Arabidopsis thaliana: one gene and its partner. The protein of the gene in region 1 interacts with the protein of each later gene in a pairwise test. Each region holds a gene or a part of one and is shown on either strand. Other genes may lie near its edges.

Region 1 (6,249 bases):
ATATAAAAATAAAATTTATCATTCTGAAAATATATATTAGAAATCTCAAATAAAAATATGTAACATCAAATATAATGTATTTATCAAATCAATGAGTAGATATATATAGTTCATGTCTTCATGAAATCATGGGACTCTTGGTCACTTTGCTACTTTTTCCTCAAGCTTTAGCCTTTTCGTTTTGTGGGTTTAATCTTCTTCGATCGATTTATACCGGATTCATAAACGTCGTCCTTGGACAAAGATTTAAGCCCGTTCAACGGTGCTTTTTCATGATGGATATGTAAAACCTAAACCGAACCTGACCATTTAATTGCCACAATAAAGAATTGCAAACTTGGGCCTAGGCCCATAATGTGTAGGCGGACAAATTTAAACAGCAACATACACAGACAAATTTCAGATGTTTATATTTTATATGACCAAAAAACTACGAAGCTACAAATCTACAGTTTCACTATCCGCATCCGGATCTGTTAGACTGGGATATCCGGGTTCCGGGTACCAGAATTCGACAGTTTTAAGGATTTGGGTATCGAACCCAGAAATTAAAAGATCCAGAGTTCTAGGGTTTGTGAGATATCGAGAAGAGATCGAAATGATTTTGTGACCTTCAAAGAATGATTTTGTGTTTGTGTCGGCAAGTGATAATTAATTGGGCTTGGGTATCAAAAATATTTGGTTTGTTAAATATATGGGCTTTTAGCTAAATGGGTTTCCAAGCCTTTTTATTTCATGTAGTTAATGGTACCGGATCCGGATATCCGGGTTCATTTTTTTCATTATCCGGATCCGCCCGTCCCGGATATCCTTATTTACGATTCAATGATTTTTTTTTGATTTTTTTTTTTTTAGTTTTTATTCAAATTTCTGTCCCCCAAGATTTTAATTCTGTAAAATCAAAAACCAGTTTCATCAAGATCTGCATGTAAACAACAACTTGGTGTTATTGAATTGACAATGTGAAATCGGGTAAGGCTTCAAAGAGTTTCCTACAGCTTCCAATGTAGTATGGTAGCCACATCTTTAACCTACCAAACAACATAGAAAATAAAATCAAACCATAAATACAACCGATTTGATACACAAATAATAAAGACAATTGTTCATAATTAAACCACGAAAGATCTATATCATCTGCTTTTCCTTTTTGTTTTATATATATGAAGAAAGTTGGTAGAGAGGGAGAGATAACTCATCACAGTCAAAGGCACATTACAAATTACATATGGGGTAGATATATATTATATACGATGATAATAATGATGATGATGATGGATGGTCATGATGATGATGATGATGATGGATTGGTTCATACAGAGCTAGTTTCGGAGAGGCCAAATTCAAGTCCCCAAAGCTCAAAAGCACCCTTGACGAAGTCATAGTAGCCTCCCTTCAAAGCAAGTGTTCCCTTCACAAGTCCTTCTCTCACAAATGGATATGTCAATAGGTTTGCTAGTGAAACATTCACCGCCTCCTGCATTTATCAATACATTTATATTGTTATATATGATCAGCTCATCGATCTAACATGTGTTTGTATACCCTTTCACATCGGCCACATTGATCTTCAAAGGCTGAATCTCCAAGTTCTGATATAACCTTTGACTTGGCTGGTAAACAGATTTTGACCCAGTCCTCTATGAAGTCACTGCAATTAACGTATATATTTTTTACTAATCTCATTTAATAAATCCTGTTATTAAAATTGATTAAATTTTAATAAAATGGATATAGAGATATTTTACGTGGAGTTGTTTCCATCTAAGGGGAAAGACATAAGCCCTTTGATCCCACCACATGCACTGTGTCCTATCACCACAATGTTCTCCACCTACAGTAATAAATTCATTCAAAAATTAATTACATGTACTTTGATAAATAATTTTTTTTGGTTAAGGTGTTAATTATTTTATTTTATTTTCACCTTAAGGTGTAAGACCGCGTATTCAATGGCTGCTCCAACGCCACCGTATTTGACCTGCCAATTTAGCAACCCAAAAATGAAAATAGAAAGTGAATGTCACGACTTCTCAAGACAAAAGTCAAGACTCAAGAGGCAGAAGGTTTAAGATAGAAGAGTTTATATCTATAGAGAGACAGACGTGTTAAATTATTAACCTTGTCGAAAGGAGGAACCATGTTGGCTATGTTACGGACCACGAAGGCATCTCCTGGCTGAAAGTCCAGAACGTGTGATGGACACACACGTGAGTCTGAACAAGCAAACACCATGTACTGCACCACCATTCACACACCTTTGTTAATTACTTTTTCTTAATGTTTCATTTTTAATTTATAAGCAACCATGATATACACATAGTATTAGTTTTATTTTTAATTTACCTTAGGACTTTGACCCTTTGCGAGCTCACCGTACAAAGCAGGGTTGGTTCTGCAAATAAAAGTATAAATATGAACCAGTTAATTAATCTAGACCACTTTAGTTGGTGACATAATTAAGAACAAACAAATGAAATAGAAATATATATTACTCGTATTTCTCCTTCTTGAATTTGATGAAGCCCTGCTTAATGGTTTCGACGGGGTCGAAAGCTTTCTTGTCGGATGAAGTACCTGTCTGAAGAGCCGCTGTGATCTGCTCCACCTTTGCCGCTGCAACCGTCTTTAGCTCTTCCTTCTCGCTGCCATATGTTTATATACATTTATAGTTAAATCACAAAAATTATGAATTAAGTAGTATTGAAAAATCCCGTTACTAATTTATAATAATGTTTTAGCTTTTATTAATCTAATCATGTATTAATGTATGCATGCGAATAGAAAAGATGTATATACTTACATGAGAAGCTTCTTGAGAGCTTCAATAGCCTCGTCGTATGCTTCGGTTCCCATCTCTTCACTCTGCAAGTTGGTTGACCAAATAAAATTAGAAGAAAATGAGTACTAGTATATTTTATTGTCGTGAACGTAATTAAGTAGAGAGCGAGTCATGACGTGTTTTAAATGTTGAAACTACAATCAACCTGTTCAGAACTTCATTATACGATAAAGTACAATTTTATAGTCTTTTATATTATGATTTTATTTTCGCTAGTAGGAACCAAATCGGTAGGTTGAATGAATAAATATAGATGGCGACTTAATCACCACTATGCTCCACACGCTCTCATATGGTACATGTGCATACACACACGTCTCAGTTTCATGAATCGTTTTTGTTGAAGCTACTACTAGCAACTTTTCTTTTATCACGTGGATCCTACGTACGTTCTAACTCTCAAAATTTCAAAAATGTCGGATCTTGGGTAGGAATGAGACAACGCTTTTAATATTTCGAGGTGATTTGTTTTTAACTTCACTAGATGTCGAAGCAAGTAGTTTGAAGATCTGTATAGAATAAGGATTGAAAATGAACTCTTCCCTTGCTTGTGATTCACTAATTAAGCAACTTTAGTTTGATTCTTGTTAATTTGGGTAATTCTTTCAGTACCACGCTAAAGACCAAAAGTCAAACACGGATGATAATAGTAAGGATAATATAAGGAAATACCAAGGGAAAAAAAAACTGAAATGTGAAACACATGTGACAGTTTCCAAGATTTGTGGAAGTTTCGTAAGCTAGTTTCTATAGAAGATTTTTGTTCCTATCACTAAAATGGCAATTGCAGAATCTATATAATAATTTCGTAAAATCTTTACAAATTTTAAAATTCTGTAACTTTAGTTTGCTATCTATGTAATGTACCCCTATTATACGTAAACAGCAATGTAAGTTATGTAAGAAATAATGTAGGTTAAGAAACAGTGATGAATGTAAAAATGTATACCCAATAAGGGGCAATGATAGGAGCAGGAGCGGCAAAAACTGGCTCGTTACGGATAAGCGTTGGAACGGAACGGGAAGACGAGGAGGAGGAAGATGAGGAAGAAGAAGAGGCGGGTGGGAGGCAAGCGACGGTGGAAGAAGTACGAAGAGAGAGTTTCTGGAGAGAAGATTGAGAAGGAGAAAGTGAAGTGAGAAAGAAGCCGGAGAGAGGAGCGGTCGACATTTGTTGGCGAAGAGAAGCGGAGATCAGAGAGAGTGAGATATGTGTATTTATAGTTAGAACTAAGACTCTTATGGAAGCTACTATATACTTAAGTGAATAATGGGATTGGTTGAAAGATTTGGGAGTTTAAAAGAACGGAGTCTCATGGTCATGGTGAGGTTGTGGGAACGAGGATAACGAAAGCGATAGCTGCGGTGAATAACAAACTTTCTTCTTTTCTTGTGGATGAGGAATATTAGCTCAAGATTTCAAAACTTTTACGTGCTCTTTTCTTCTTTCAATTCTTTTTTTTATAAAAAAATAAAAGGTCTCAGAAAGGTTTAGAGGATAAGGTCCCTTATCATGAAAACAAGGATCAGCCTCTTTCACTTACCCTCTCAGGCTCTCATCTTAAATAATCACCACCCACTTTAGATGTTAGGCCATTTGTTTGTGGTATACATATAGAAAGATCCATACTTCTCTAGGCTCTCTCTAGACCAGAGATTGCTATTGTATACACAATCTAGAAGATGCAAAGGATTAACATCGATCATGGACTGTTCTACTCTACGAAACAACAGACTCAGTGAAAACTCTTAGCATGAAAATGAAGAGGAAATAAAAAAAATAGAGAAGAAGGGTCTCTCCTCTCAGACCTTCCATGGCCATAAATCATCATATAGGCAACATTAGATAACAGAGTTTCTATTTTCTTCAACATGTTAGGAGAGAGCGAGAGAGAGAGAGAAAATGAAGAAGAAATACAGAGACCAGTAACGCATTAGGGTTGGTTTTGGGACTTATATGTAAAGTGGGCAACGGCGAAACTATGTCGACATTTTTTCATGCAAACACACAACATAATGTCAACATTCTCTTGTCATAGAGTGCGCGAATGTGGCAATGTTGTTCACAACGATATTAGGGTTAAGTACCTCGAGGAATGGATAGAGACAGAAGAATGGATGTAACATTTTAACTTATGCCAAAACAAAACTTCTACGACTTTGGGCATAGTCTTATTGGACAAACTGAGAATGCGATACACCGAGCTGCTTTCGCCAGCCTAAATCTTTCGCTCTCTGTTAACACTCTCTCGATCACCTTTATGATATTTGCATCCTGCAAAACATTGTACAAGTTGCTTCAGGTTTATGTCTTGAACCAATCAGGCAAATATAACGTGGAACATCTTATTCAAGCTTTTCCTATTGTATGAAGAAGAGACTACTGCATAGTAGGAGTAACCTTTCTTGGTTGTTGAATTGTAGGCCTGACGTTAGCAACATCACCAACTACAATTATATTGTTCGTGTTTCCTCGGTCATCTCTTTCCGTTGGTGAAGTTGCTGAATGCCTCCAATCACCGTTGATTATGTACTTGTAGTAGTATCTGCCACATTGTCAATAATCACCAAGTTATATGACACAAATGCATTTTCATAAGTTTCTTTGCAGTTTGCAATCCCTCAAAAGTCACAATTAACATGCAGGGAAGATTATGAGACGTTTTACTGTTGAACCTTAAAAAAAGCATCAACGGGAAAGGTAAAAGAAGCATGACTTACTTTCCCTGTGTAAGTCTAACTTCAGTTTCAAAACGTGGACCGCCTTTGTGCGTTGCTTTTATCGGTTCTTTCCAATTTCCTGTGAAATCCCCAACCAACAATACCTCCTCCCCCTGTAAACCAAGGTGTAACTTAAAACACAGAGGCTAGTTGCTCAACCCTACAGATCACGAGTTCCATAAAGAATTGCAGCAAAGTAATAAAAGCATGTGAAGCAACAGTCACCTCATGTCCATTCCACACAAAGGTTACAGAGTGTGTTGGAGTCCCATCATGTTTGCCATCGTCCACCATAGCGATAAGATCCCATGTTGCCCAAGCAATTGCAGGTCTGTGAAAAAATACATATAACTTGTCTGATGTTTTCATTAAAACAGAAAAGCTATCCATGGTCTGCAGGTTAATGGTCAAGACAGAGATAAGATGGATAAAAACCTGTCAGGTTTGCAAGCGTGCAATCCAGTAACGAAACTATAAGCAGCATGAAGAGAGGTATCAGTCATCCAGTGCAGATAAGCAATCACACAAGCGGATGACCGGTCAAAACCAGTGGTACAAGTTACAAAGACACGATGGTTCTTTTTCAGTAACCGTAGTAAGAGCCCAACACAAAGTGGTAGCTTCTTCCTAAGATCAAAGGAATCTGCATCCCTGGCACCAAAATATCAAAACTGATTAGAGCGGTA
Region 2 (6,545 bases), about 22 Mb from region 1:
TGCTCACACTCAACTTCGTTACCTGCACTACACATATACTTCTAAATTAGGCCCTAGTCAATCCAGAGCCACACTTTTTAAGAGAACAACAAAGAAATTAAGAGAGAGGAGCATTTTAGGGGGGCATGTCACCTGTGCCAGAACATGAATTAATGCCCCTAGCTAGGTAACGAGTCCCTGGATGCAGTCTGCTACGACGGGCCATTAGAGCAACAATCCCTTCTAGCTGGCCTGAGCTCCCAAAAGGTCGATATTCTGCAAACCCCTATAATTAACATCAAATAAGAAGATGATGTCATATCAATTTATATGCTTTTGAATCTTCACACAAAACCGAAATCGGATAGGTAGATCAACCTTCATCAATTCATTAATGGAGGACGAACCTGCAGAAGAATGACACAGTGTTCAGGTAGCCCAATATTCTTAAAAGGCACGGACAACCATCTATTCCAAACAAATTCATCATCAGGGCTTTGAAGTGGCATACGGCTTGGGAAGGGCCGAGTGATGTCTCTAGTATCACAGAAATAGTGCTTCCCGTCGATGTCAAGCTCAGTCAACTCCTGAATATTCTTGGTTTCACCTTTCCCTTGAGGCTGTGGATTGTAGAGTGGTATTTTGACCCATTGACTCTCAGCCACTGTATATACACATCCACCACCAGGCAAATCTGGAATACTTGGATTTAGCCTGGTCGCAACTAAAAGCATCCCAAAGCTCCCCAAGACAGCATAACCGAGTATTGCCCTGGCATAAACAGAGCTTCTAACACCTCCTCTTGATCCATTCGTAATATAATCTAAGGCTTCACGCTCTGACTTAAAATTATCAAGGCCAGGCTTCCCATTGTACCGCAGGATACCAGTCGTAGGATCGATATAGATAACTTGAGTATCAGCCTTAGATAACAAACTTGCAATGACATAGACTTCACCAGTGTCTAAGGTGACAACAACTACAGATGTCTTTTTTGAACCACCTACACCAAGAAGATAAGAAAATTAGCCAACCAAATGATGAAAACAGCTAGAGTGAAAAAAAAAAACACTTGAATCTTCAAAAAGAAACTAACCTGGTGGATGCAGATCCATCTGAGCTCAGGACCAAGCGGACCAGGTGCCCTCTTTGACAGCTTCAGGGACCAAGATATCAATGTGGAACCAAAAATCTAGCAAAAAGTCAACGAAATAAGGAACTTCCATCAGAGAAATAAAAAGCAATGGAATCCAAAAAATGTAGCATAGTTAGTTCTATACTTAAAACGATTCATCAACGCCAATTAAAATCAAAACAGAGAGATCATCTTCCTAACAATAATCTCCGATATAACTGAGACAAAAGATCAGAATTTTCTCACAAATTTCGATAGAAGTAATAAAAAAAACGAGTACCAGAGATCTGAGACTTTTTCCGAGAATAGCAAAATTAAAGACGCAAATCGATAATTCAAATTCCGAGAAAGCAGAAAGATAAATTCTTCAGAGAACCCGAATCGAATCATAAGTCATAAGAGAAGGAACTCACCTTGAAGTTGTAGAGATGATCAGATGCAAAATTTACCAAGTCGTTCGTAGACGAACAAACGAAGAGGAAGAAGAGTAAATCTGCTGTTACCCAACACACAGTACAAAAACAATCATAGTACGACACGTGTGAATCTGTTTAATTGATTTATGAAAAAAGAGAAGAAATTATTGATAACTTGAAAATTGGTCCAATTAGTTTTAAAATGTAACGAATAGACCCAATCAAAAGAAAAGACAAAATAAAGTATAGAGATGATGAATTAACGGCTTTGGACAAGCCACACGATTCGCTTTGCTTATCTTGCTCCACCCAATCCAAATTGAGACACAATCTCTATCGAATCCACGCGCCTCTATCTTTTTTCAATCGAGTCGCCATTAACATATTTCATCAAGCTCAGTCCACTCTTCTCATGAAACTTCATCATCATCGACCTTGACCCTGATAGGTTATTAAAGTTACTGCATTTGATCTCTCTTTGAACTGCTTCTGTTGTTCAAGGTTCCAAACATGCTCAGACTCAGTAATTGAATAATGGGTATTCTTGTTGCAGGTTTCAGACGACACCCATTATTGTAAATCTGCTGCTGGAGTCTTTTTTGTCTGAATCTTCTTCTTGTTGAGACACTGTTTCTTCTTGGTCTGTGATTTTTGTTTTGTTCTCATTAGGACGTTCTTTATTCCGGTTCAGATTTACTGGATCGTCATTTTCTCTTTGAAATTGTATTTTTTTGTTCCTTTTCTGGTATGTTGTGAAAGCTATGAGATTGCTGTAAGAATCCAAGACTGACCAACATGTTTCCCCTGTGCTCGGCCACAAGCTGCCGTTACCATTCTCAGGTTAGATTTTCTTTATAGAAGTGAAAGTAAATAAGCTAACTGGTAGCAAATTTATTGAAGTCATCCAATTTGAGCTATGGGTGTTACGCTTTGTTAGTGCTTTGGGTTTTTGGATTCATTTTCATAGATAAGTAAGTACCTCATAACGGGTTTGTTTCTGCAGATTTTATTTCCTGGCAATTGGCGAGGCTGTTCTTCCTTCAGGAGAGAGTTGATTCACAGATACAGTTCAGGTGACAATGCCTTCTTTGGTATCTCTAATGGAACACGCCTGCAGAAGAGTTTCGTACCTCAAGCCACTGGGAGTTTCTTGACCGGTACTATCGAAAAAACAGAACAACCAGTATCAACATTCGGAAGTTTGTGCCAGAATGAGTTGGACAGAATAAACTACATGGTTTATAACATGAGTGAAGCTTTTGTAGCGAGTGATGAGGGACTGACATATGTAGAAAATGGAGAAGATGTGTTCCCTGTTGAAGCTGTTGCAGCAGATGTTTCTCCTGTTGAAGCTGTTGTACCAGATGTTTCCCCCATTGAATGCCTTTCTGCTGAGACTTTAACCGATAAGACCAGTAGCCTTATAGACTCTGTTGAATCGGGAACCAATGCGACTGTTAAAATATCTCCGGATAGTTCAGTCTCACTTCCTGATGCGAAAGCTAGCTTTGATGACTTTTCTTCTGGGCTCAAGCAGTCCTTCAGCTCTTCACTTCCTGATGCGAAAGCTAGCGTTGATGACTTTTCTTCTGGGGTCAAGGAGTCCTTCAGCTCTTCACTTAACCAAGGAGAAAATGCTGTAAAGAACACTTTGGAGTCCTTCTCCTCGTCTGTGACATCCATTACAAAGAATGCTTCTGAAGTTGTAGATAGTGCAGTTAACAGAGCGTTTTCTACGCTAGACCAAACGGGAGATGTAGCTGGAGACAAGTTTTCGAGTTTTTCTACTGGCTTGAAGGAAGCTTCAAACAGAGCAGCTGTTATTGCCATTGATCTGCTGAGGCAATCAGTTAGTCTTGGAGAGAGATCTGTAACAAATGGAGTTTCTTTTGTTGTGTACTCTTATGGATCAGCAAAAGAATTACTTCCTCCAGATGTAAAGAGTGCCCTTAACTCGTCAGAAGATGTTGCTCTAAAAGTATTGAGTCCCGTGGGAGCTGTATTGCAGCAGGTGCTTTGTCTTATATACTGAAGGTTCATTCATATTTTCGTAGAAGAAAATTAATTCTTTATGGACTACAGTTGCTAACAGTATCATGATGAACAGGTATCTGTTGCCATTGGAGGTTTGGAGAGAAATATCGGTTTGGATCCAGATGACCCAATCCTTCACCTTTTTCTCTTCGTAGGCACCACAGGAACCTTTTGGTACACGGCTTTTCTTACCCTAGAAGGATATTAAACTTGCTTTTCTTGAGAGGACAATGTAGTATAGAAGAATTTATATTTTCCACCAGATATTTGCAGGGTTCTATATCGGGTTTGGACATATGGTGGATATGCTGGAGATTTGTCTCCCAAGTCAACTCTGGACCTTTTAAAATCAAGAGACAAGTCAGTGCTCATAGATGTCAGGCCTGAAGTAAGACGCTCTTAAGTTTCTAACAAGTTCCCATTTCATGATATATAACTTTTCAAAACCCACCACAATTTGATTATTTCTTTCACATAATGTTCATCAAGGAGTTTGGGTTGAAATAAAAATGCTCATTTTGGCTACTGTCTTTTTGAAGGCCTTGAGAGAGAAAGATGGAATACCTGATCTGCGGAGATCAGCTCGATTTCGATATTCTAGCGTGACACTGCCTGAGGTTGGTTTTAGCATCCTCATTGTTGTTGACCACAGCGAATATAGAAACTCTACACATGTAATCTATGAACACAACGAGGTTTCAGCAATCAGTGCAACAGAAGTAGGATATCAGACTTTTCTTTATTCACATTTTTTATGGGTTCTTGTTCTTGATTCATGTTTAAGGTTGACGGTGATGTCAAACGGCTACTGAAAGGTGGAAGTGAAGTAGATGATATCTTGACAGCAGTAATCATCAAGAACTTGAAAATAGTTCAGGTGTGCTACCTTCATGCTTCTTTTGTAACTTACTATGGTTTTGTGGCTCGAGCTGTTTCAGTTTCTAAGTATGCTGACATCTCATAATTTTGCTTACTCTCCCACTAATAGGACAGGTCCAAGGTTGTTGTTATGGATGCTGATGGAACTCGTTCAAAGGGTATTGCAAGAGCCCTGAGAAAAGTTGGGATTAAGGCAAGTCATTCAGGCATAATTCACTTTGAACACAATAAGTTACCTTTAAACATTTTCGAATAAGCTCTTCTTTGGTTGCCTATGATGTGACAGAGGCCATACTTGATGCAAGGTGGGTATAGATCATGGGTACAGGAAGGTCTTCGTGTGAAAGAGCCAAAACCTGAGACAACACTTACCATCCTCAACGAGGTAATACCATATGAATACAAATATGTTTGGACTGTTTCTTCAGCTAGATGAAATTGAAACTGCTCTCAAATCTTTTCATCAGTAAGTTAAACATATCTTAAATGCTTTTCAGGAAGCTGAGGCGATTTTTGAGGACATAAATCCCTCTCCATTGCAACTATTTGGAGTTGGTGTGGTATGCTTCTAGTTCTATTTTTCTATTTCCGTTTAATAATAATCCCATCCTGACTAATATAAGAAGATATATGCAGGGTTTTTTCGCAGCATTGTATGCTTTGTCTGGTGCGTTTAATTCTTTCTCATTTCCCCTTTAGAATATCTCATATTCTCCACAACACACAAGCTCCTCACATCCACGTTTTGCACTAACATGATTGCTCTATCTCTCGCAGAGTGGGAGAAAACACTGCAACTCATAGCTGTCATCGGCCTTAGTCTGGTATATACTAGCCTTTCCAGTTTCTAAGTTTTGTCAAATTATAGTTGCTTTGTTTTGTTTTTCAAGTTTCAAACATTATGCAGACTATATACCTACGACTTTCTTCATATGATGACTCCGAAGACTTCAAACAAGACGTCAGGTATAAAAGCGCCATCATTAGACCCTTTTTCCATAGCAAAAACTCAGCGAAACCTCTGTTCTGTCTTAACAAAGATTGTTTCATCTTCTTCTTCAAGGCTGTTGCTTGCACCTGTGAAACTCGGAGCTCAGGCTTTCTCGTGGGCTGCAGGAAAACTAGAAACAAATGGTGTTGGCCTCCCAACTTCGCCTTCTTCTTCAGATGTTCGAAGCCGGGTTTTGCAAGCTGCTGCTAAGCATGAATCGAAACCCTCTGATGAAACTTCTGAAAGTCTCCAAGATGCATCATCGTCACCAGAAGAAGCTTTGAACAACGTTGATGTCTCCGAAGCGTAAAGACTCTGAAAATTGTTTTCTATTTTTCTTATAATTGCCAAGAATTACTTTTGTTCGTCTCTTGGAACCGTTAACATCGGCAACAGAAAAAGTGTAATAAAAAAAAACTGTTTTCTTTTCGTTCGGATGCTGAGATTTGTTTTGCAAATTTAGAACTAGCTAAATTGGGTCAAAAGTTATAGGTTACACGTAAAATTATTACAGCAATTTCTCCCCTAATAACTTTGGGCTTTAGGCCCAATAACAGAAGGCCTTAAAGTGGCATACTTAGGGTTTAGTGAAAAAGCAATCGTCATCCTTGACTCAGGGGTCAGGTCAAATCCAGGAGAAGAAGAGGTAATCATTCTACACAGATAGAAACATTTATTTTTTGTTTAATCAAAAGCTAACATTTTGTTGTGACAGTTCTCGTGTTTTCTTAATATAGATGGCAAGACTGATAATCGTGCCAGAATCCGTCTTATTAATCAAGACAAGAACAAATACAACACTCCAAAGTATCGGTTTGTTGTTAGATTTGTATCCTTTTAATTAGTTCATCACATTCCCAGTTGTTAGTGGTGTCTGTTTACATTCTTCCTATCGAGTTTTGTTTGGCCTTGAATGTGAGGAAAGCTAACTTGATTGACCGTATTCGTACACTTCACTCAGCTGCTGAAGCCATATCAATGAAGTTGACGACGAGTGAAAACGTTTCTTCTCTTTAAAAAACTGTATTTCCATCTAGTTTTGATCTTACTTTCGTGGCTTTGAATTTTTACTTTTCATATAGCATCGTTATATTACTCTTTACCTAATTTC

What was found.
Region 2: the proteins of CA1 (region 1) and AT3G59780 interact in a protein complementation assay, tested with the Arabidopsis thaliana proteins (one large-scale study listed by BioGRID).

Annotation. Positions count from the first base shown.
Region 1 is NC_003074.8:193,861-200,109, forward strand, and holds CA1 (carbonic anhydrase 1), read right to left. Parts: upstream 4,301-6,249; 5' UTR 4,014-4,300; coding exon 3,792-4,013; intron 3,705-3,791; exon of another isoform or gene 2,988-3,704; intron 2,866-2,987; coding exon 2,804-2,865; intron 2,646-2,803; coding exon 2,496-2,645; intron 2,396-2,495; coding exon 2,347-2,395; intron 2,239-2,346; coding exon 2,122-2,238; intron 1,982-2,121; coding exon 1,928-1,981; intron 1,835-1,927; coding exon 1,749-1,834; intron 1,652-1,748; coding exon 1,546-1,651; intron 1,478-1,545; coding exon 1,319-1,477; coding exon of another isoform or gene 1,313-1,318; exon of another isoform or gene 1,032-1,312; coding exon 993-1,031; 3' UTR 566-992; downstream 1-565. Other genes in the region: LSF1 (uncharacterized protein), read right to left, coding at 4,995-5,117, 5,244-5,388, 5,564-5,676, 5,789-5,894, 5,999-6,214. UniProt on the Arabidopsis thaliana protein: Reversible hydration of carbon dioxide. Required for photosynthesis in cotyledons. Binds salicylic acid.
Region 2 is NC_003074.8:22,084,581-22,091,125, forward strand, and holds AT3G59780 (Rhodanese/Cell cycle control phosphatase superfamily protein), read left to right. Parts: upstream 1-1,752; 5' UTR 1,753-1,978; intron 1,979-2,083; 5' UTR 2,084-2,325; coding exon 2,326-2,370; intron 2,371-2,533; coding exon 2,534-3,541; intron 3,542-3,637; coding exon 3,638-3,738; intron 3,739-3,837; coding exon 3,838-3,952; intron 3,953-4,103; coding exon 4,104-4,181; intron 4,182-4,348; coding exon 4,349-4,441; intron 4,442-4,552; coding exon 4,553-4,636; intron 4,637-4,729; coding exon 4,730-4,828; intron 4,829-4,940; coding exon 4,941-5,003; intron 5,004-5,079; coding exon 5,080-5,110; intron 5,111-5,220; coding exon 5,221-5,267; intron 5,268-5,350; coding exon 5,351-5,409; intron 5,410-5,506; coding exon 5,507-5,744; 3' UTR 5,745-5,949; downstream 5,950-6,545. Other genes in the region: SAC9 (sacI homology domain-containing protein / WW domain-containing protein), read right to left, coding at 1-22, 133-265, 387-982, 1,076-1,094.